Linked DNA regions of Cricetulus griseus. The protein of the gene in region 1 purifies or fractionates together with the protein of each later gene. This does not show direct contact. Links are inferred from orthologs where the notes say so. Each region holds a gene or a part of one and is shown in the gene's direction. Other genes may lie near its edges.

The links. Proteins that work in one complex are often made in the same cells at the same time.
Region 2: the proteins of Myh14 (region 1) and Chuk purify together in Homo sapiens (affinity purification with mass spectrometry; 3 studies listed by BioGRID and IntAct, with this or other methods). This does not show direct contact. The link is inferred for Cricetulus griseus from reciprocal best matches to the Homo sapiens genes MYH14 and CHUK.

What each region holds. Positions count from the first base shown.
Region 1 is NC_048599.1:153,502,293-153,505,869, reverse strand, and holds part of Myh14 (myosin-14), read left to right. Parts: coding exon 1-152; intron 153-827; coding exon 828-949; intron 950-1,533; coding exon 1,534-1,603; intron 1,604-1,973; coding exon 1,974-2,134; intron 2,135-2,763; coding exon 2,764-2,872; intron 2,873-3,577. UniProt on the Homo sapiens protein: Cellular myosin that appears to play a role in cytokinesis, cell shape, and specialized functions such as secretion and capping.
Region 2 is NC_048596.1:17,462,181-17,465,757, forward strand, and holds part of Chuk (inhibitor of nuclear factor kappa-B kinase subunit alpha), read left to right. Parts: intron 1-911; coding exon 912-1,014; intron 1,015-1,666; coding exon 1,667-1,790; intron 1,791-2,463; coding exon 2,464-2,615; intron 2,616-3,577.

The sequences.
Region 1 (3,577 bases):
TCGGGGATGGTCCTCCGGGAGGTCGCCCCCGCCGTGGGATGTTCCGGACTGTGGGGCAGCTCTACAAGGAATCGCTGAGCCGCCTCATGGCCACACTCAGCAATACCAACCCCAGTTTCGTCCGCTGCATCGTCCCCAATCACGAGAAGAGGGTGAGTAGGAAGTGTCCAATCAGCTTGTTGCACTCTCTGAGTGGGTACAAGTGGCTGCCATGTCTGGGTTCTCTGCTTCTCTGACCTAAACATTTTGAGTGTCCACTGTGGCAGAGACAGGACTTAGGGACATGGTGGCAAAGAGGTGAGCCTGTGCCAGTTGCTTCTGTGTCTGCAGGGAGCTAACAGTTACAGGGCAAAAGAAGTACTTACTTCATAAAACACACATTCAGCTAACCACCCAAAGTGAATGTCAGGTGAACCTGAAGGGCTGAGAAGGGTCAGACTAGATTTTACCTAGCCAGGGAGTCAGAGGAGGCTCCCTGGAGGGGAGGTAACTGAGCTGTTCAGCCTAAGCTGTTTTCCAAGCAGAGATAGCTTGTGCCCAGAGACAGGTAGGGGCATTGTGAGAATAAGGAATGGGAAGGGCTGCTGGGATACAGGCCAGGCCTGTCAGTCCTGCACTAGGAACAACGAGATAGAAAAGGTATTAAGTTCAGGGCCAATCTCACCTACAGTACCAGTTCAAAGCCAGCCTGGGCAACTTAATAACCCTTGTTTCAAATAAAAAAGGAAAAAGAGGCCTGGGGGTGTTGCTCAGTGGTAAAACATTTGCCACAGCCCTGATTGTGGCACCCCTGGTGGCTTCCACTGACCCTGCTGTCACTCCTGCAGGCTGGGAAGTTGGAGCCCCGCCTGGTGCTGGACCAGCTCCGTTGTAATGGGGTCCTTGAGGGTATCCGCATCTGCCGCCAGGGCTTCCCCAACCGCATCCTCTTCCAGGAGTTCCGGCAGCGGTGAGCAAAGGGCTCCAGGGGGCTGGGCAGGATGGGAGTCAAATCCCTTGGGGCTTGAAGCCAGGTTTCTGAGTCTCACTTTCCCTTCTGTGGTGTTTAAGAGGGGAAGGAAAAAGGGTCCTGGAGTGCCAGCCGAACTTTGAAAATTGAAATTGCATGCCTTTAATCCCAGCACTCAGGAGGCAGAGGCAGGCAAATCACTGTGACTTTAAGACCAGCCTGGTCTACAAGAGCTAGTTCCAGGACAGCCTCCAAAGCCACAGAGAAACCCTGCCTCAAACCCCGCCCCCCAAAATAAATACATACATAAATAAATAAAACTGAAGTTGAAGCTGGGCATAGCGGTACATGCCTTTAATCCCAGCAGTGAGGAAGTAGATACAGGAAGATCTCTTGAGTTTGAGGCCAACCTGGTCTACATAGAGAGTTCTAGACCAACCAGAGCTACATAGTGACATCCTGACTCAAAAAAATTTCCAAAACTGTCTGAGTGGTGTGGTTAGCATCCCTATCTCTACCAAGCCTTATTCATATGGTCTCATGATGCTGTGCTCCTCTTCCCTCCTCCTCCCCTCTGGCTGCAGCTATGAGATCCTCACCCCAAACGCCATTCCCAAGGGCTTCATGGATGGCAAGCAGGCCTGTGAAAAGATGGTGGGTAGGGGCAAGGGCCTATGGGAGCCAGGGCCTGTGGAGGGGTAGGGTTTTGCGATCTGAGGCGAGCCTGCTCAGTGGGTGGGCCTATGGCTAAGGGTGCTTTGGCTGGGGGCGGAGCCTGTAGATGGGGGTGTTACTAACAGCCTGGGCAGGGCCTTTGGTGTTGGATATATGGGAAATGTTGACCTGCTAAAAGATGTTGCATGGGGCCTGTGAGGTGGGGGGGGGGCGTGGGAGCCTGGGAGCGGGGTCTGGGGCAGGTGTAGCGCCTGGACAGGGAATCCAGGTGGTGGGGGACTCCCCATTGTCCTTCTTGATACTGTTTCCTTTTCTCCATCTCATTCTCCTTCCCACTCTAACCCTCCAGATCCAGGCCCTGGAGCTAGACCCCAACCTATACCGTGTTGGCCAAAGCAAGATCTTCTTCCGTGCTGGAGTCCTGGCCCAGCTGGAGGAAGAGCGGGACCTGAAGGTCACGGACATCATAGTATCTTTCCAGGCAGCAGCACGGGGATACCTGGCCCGCAGGTGAGGGAAGCCAGGCTGTGCCACGAGTGATGGGCCGAGGCTGGGCAGAGGCCTGCGGACACCCAAAGGGAGCTGGAGTCCTGCAGGACATGCTTGTGTTTAGGACCCCAGCTAGAGGAGTGACGTGTCCTGATAGAGGCTAACTGGGTCCGAGAGAATGGAAGGCTGGTTTGTGTAAGGGCCTGGGGCAGGGCACCTGGCCTGTCTCAGGCTGCAGGCAGATGTAGAGCAGTTTCTCCTCCCCTCAGAACAAACAGCCAGTAGAAGGGATGCTGCAACCCCAGGCTGAGGGCTGTGACCTTGCCTAGGGGTCCTGGGGAGCTGTGGAGGACTGTGAGCCAAGAACAGGGTCAGTGTGTTGGGGTGGGCTGAGGGGAAGGGAGGGAGGCTGAGGGCTGGAGGACAGAGCCAAGAGCAGGATGTGTAAGACTCATAAAGTCTGCCGTGATGGAACTTCAGCTCAGCGGGCACAGGGCTCACCTAGCAGGAAGCCCCCATCATCCCTGCCTGCACTGACGAGGCGGAGAAAGGAGGATGGGCTTCCAAGTTAGCCTGAGCTACGTGAGAGCCCGTCTGAGAAGTAACTAAGTCTGCAATGGCTGCTCCTACTGTCATCCGTGTGCCCACAGGGCCTTCCAGAGAAGGCAGCAGCAGCAGAGCGCCCTGCGGGTGATGCAGAGGAACTGTGCCGCCTATCTCAAGCTGAGGAACTGGCAGTGGTGGAGACTGTTCATCAAGGTGAGTGAGCCTGAGCCCGTGTTCCCCATGTTTGTGAACCAGAGCCACCTGTTACCAGGATGACGGTCCTCCTTCCCCTCCTCCTCCTCCTCCTCCTCCTCTTCCTTTTTTCGAGATAGGGTTTCTCTGTGTAGCCCTAGCTGTCCTGGAACTCACTCTGGAGACCAGGCTGGCCTTGAACTCACAGAGATCCACCTGCCTCTGCCTCCTGAGTGTTGGGATTAAAGCTTGCGCCACTACCGCCAGTTGACCCAGGATTCTTTAGATGATAAGTGATTTAAACTAGTCTGATGCAGGACACTGGGGTGGGGTGGGGTGGGGTGAGGCCTGCCTGGAATCCCCAAACTGGGGAGGATGGGTTGAGGCCTTAGCTGAGGCTGTACCTTGGTTGGTAGGGCGTGTTTGCTCAACAGCACAAAGCTGTCATCCCAGAACTCACAAAGCTGGAGAATTAGGGGCTCTAAGTCATCTTTGGCTACATATAGAGTTTGATGCTAGCTTGAGCTACATAAGATCTTGTCTCAGAAAAAAAGGAGGGGCAGGGTAATAACATGGCTTGGCAGATTAAGGGTGCTTGCTGCCAGTCCCCAGGGCCCACACTGTGGAAGGAGACTTCCACAGGTTGTCCTCTGACCTCCAAATGTTCACGTGTAAGCATGTATAGACAGTAAATAAATGTGTGTGGGGAGGTACGAATTGAGCCAT
Region 2 (3,577 bases), on another chromosome or scaffold:
TGTATGGCTATGTGTTTGTATGAGTGCAGATGTTTATGAGGGTGTACATGTACATATGTGCCCATGGAAGCCAAAGGTCAACCTCAGTCGCCATTCCTCAATGACAGTCATCTCCTTTGTTTTGAGAAAGGCTCTCTCATTGGCCTGAAACTTATTGATTAGGCTAAGCTGCTGGAATCACAAAACCCAACTCTTATTAAATGTGGGTTATGGTGCTTATACTCGGGTCTCCATGCTTGTATAACAGGTGTTTTACTGATGAAATATTTCCCCAACACTAGCATTACGTTTTTGAATGTTATCAGTGTTATAGGGTGTTTCATTCCTGTTGGACCTTTTGAGAAAGAGTCTTGCTGTGTAGCCCAAGCTGACTCTCACCCTACCCTGTTTTGGAATTACTCTAGTACCTAGTCTTTTTCTTTTGTTTACTACTGAGTGTTTCATTCACCAGTATGACCTTTTGTATTTGTTCTTTTGGCTTTTAAGTACTGAGATTAGAAACTTACTTTGTTTTTCCTAGTTTTTTAAGTTAGCAGACAAAATGGTGGGTTTTGTTATGGCATTTTTATGCATGTATATTCACCATAGTTTTTCTTATTTCTACCTCTTCCATTTTGCCCTTCTTTGTTGGTCTTTCTCTCCCCAAACAGTCTTCCCTTTTGCTTCCTTGCTAACCAACCCCATTACCCTCTTCCCACACCTGCTCTGTTTGTTCCTTTGGGTCTGCTGATCACTTTTTACTTTGACTCCATATATCTTTTTACTAACCCTTTGCCCCACATCTATAAATTAGATGTGAATGCACAGTGACTTTGTTCAGTACATTTCAAAGAAGGAAATCTGGCACTTAAGTATTTGTAAAATCTAGAGTTTTCAAGAATCTTTGCATTTTAATTGTTTCTTTTTTTCAGAGAGGCTGTGATAGCTACATGGTTTATTTGTTTGATAAAAGTAAGACTGTGTATGAAGGACCATTTGCATCCAGAAGTTTGTCTGATTGTGTAAATTATATTGGTAAGTAGAGTCCAGTTAGTGGCTGAACTTTAATCTTGAAATTACATGATTAGTAAATATGATCTTTTTAGTGGTTTTGTTCAGTATCTCCTATTTGAGATTTCTATATGTGGCGAAAATGGATTTAATGTAGTTTGGAAGGTGTAAAGGTAGATTTTAAATTACCACTAGACTCTTCTCTTGGGAGGAGATTTCCCTTCCTGAGGATAGGGCTCCATAGATAGAAGAATGAAAGCCCACTGTGCACTGTGCCTGCTTTTTTTAATTGTTCCTTCGTTAGGTGTGTTCAGATATTTACACACAGCTTTGCCTGTAAATTTCATAAATCTGAGCTGGTGTTTAGAAACAGAAAAGACTGGTGGACTGTGGAGGAGAAGGAACTTGAACCAAAGCTTTTAGAAGTAAAGAATTTGGATTAGCAGAAAGAAAATGAATATTCTTGACTTCTTGACTGGAGAGAAGCAAATTTAAAAGAAAAACATACAGAAATAATGAAGTAGTTATGTTATTCAGACACACAACTCTCATATCTAGAGCCAGGCAGTAGATTCTTTTTAACATCTATGGGAATAGTTTTTGGAAAAGACGTCACAAAGAATGAACTATAGTGTCTGAAAGTGGCTTACCTCCCTTATTACCATTTTACTTATAGTTCAAGACAGCAAGATACAGCTTCCAATTGTACAGCTGCGTAAAGTATGGGCTGAAGCAGTGCACTATGTATCTGGACTAAAAGAAGATTACAGCAGGCTCTTTCAGGGACAAAGAGCGGCAATGTAAGTGGGTTCTGGTTGTTTTTTTAGCATAACACCACTTGTATCATGTACTCAAGAATTATTCTTGCCAGTTTTCCCTGAGAATTGTGTAGAAGGCTAAAATATTGAACATATTTTGAAGTGTACTGTTTTTAATAATGTGTTTATGAGCATGTGAATGGATGCACACGTGGAAGCCAGGGTTGATGTTGGCTATATTTCCCTTATTGTTTTCTCACCTAAGTTTGGAGGCAAGATCTCTTACTAACCCTGGAGCTTACTGTTTCAGCTAGACTGAATGGCCCATGGGCTCCTCTGTTTGCCTGTTTCCCCATGCCTCCAAGCACTCACTTGCCATGCACTAAGCTGAGGTCCTCGTGCATGCAAAGCAAGCACTTTGCCCACTGGGCCATCACTCTGACTCCATTGAGATGCAGTGTTCTGACCAGACTTAAGATTTCTTATTAATGGTCTGAAATCATTCAGCTGTAATGTCTTGAAAATTCTAGTTCCTGAGTGGCCTTAGCTGAAGAAGGTTGTTTATCACAGACCTCACAGTCTGGAAATAGGTCAGCTGTTTCTCAGGATTTGATAATAGAAACTTAGGTTTTGGAGTTTGGATACTGTATGTTTGCAAATTGTTATTCAATGTTTCTGAATGTTGATAATTTTGTTTTGTTTTGCTATGGCTTAGGTTAAGTCTTCTTAGATATAATGCTAACTTGACAAAAATGAAGAATACTTTGATCTCAGCATCACAGCAACTCAAAGCTAAATTGGAGTTTTTTCACAAAAGCATTCAGCTTGACTTGGAGAGATATAGTGAGCAGATGACTTACGGGATATGTAAGTGTCTGGCTATAATGTATTTGTAAGGAATGTCTAGTCTTTTGAAACCATCTGCTCTCTTATCTTGTTGACACATAGCCAGTAATTTAAATTCACAGCAGACCAACATACAGAAAAACTTGTCAAATGTTTTTGTTTTGAGGGTTAGCTCTTTTAATCCCTTAGTTAAGCAACTTATTTCATAATTATTGTAAAAGTATGTAACTCTAGAAAAGCTAAATAATACAGAAGTGACCTTAAGACTGAATTTCAAGTCTTATTTTAAAATGTATAGAGTCTATATTGAGGTGACTTCCTAGCCAATACTGTGTACTGAAATGTGTGCTTCCCCTAGTTGGTATGCTGAAATCCTGATCCTTTTGATAATGGTAAGACCCTTGGGAAAGGATTAAGTCATGATGGGACCTTACTAGAGGCCTGAGTCACATTCCCTCACCCTTTCTGTCATAAGGGGACACAGAAGGCAGTGTGAACCACTGCCTATGAACCAGAACTTGATCTTGGCTTTCTCAGATTTCAAAATTTGCCACCTAGGGTATTTTTGTTTTGTTTTGTTTTGTTTTGCTTTGTTTTCTGATTTTGTTCTTGTAGTGTAGCAGCTCAAGTGGAATAACACAGCCAGGGGAGTCTTAAATTATTTGTTTTGTTTGTTTTTTTGTTTTCCCTTAATCCATCTGCTGTGGAGTTCTACCTACTGTTTTCTTATTATACACAGTGTCCTGACTCCAACCTTATCCCCTTTTGGATGTGTTAAGGATTTGTAAAGAGTTAAAATCCAAATAAACGGAATTGTTTACTTCATGACACATATCTTTTAGAAGAAGTAGATACTGTTTATTATGTACTTGACAAAAGTTTGGATATCTCAGAATAAGTGACCAGAAGTGTCCAGTTAGTGAATATATTTATTCTCTAGTGTTATTTCTGTGTTTACATATTATAGGCATAATTATTTCATT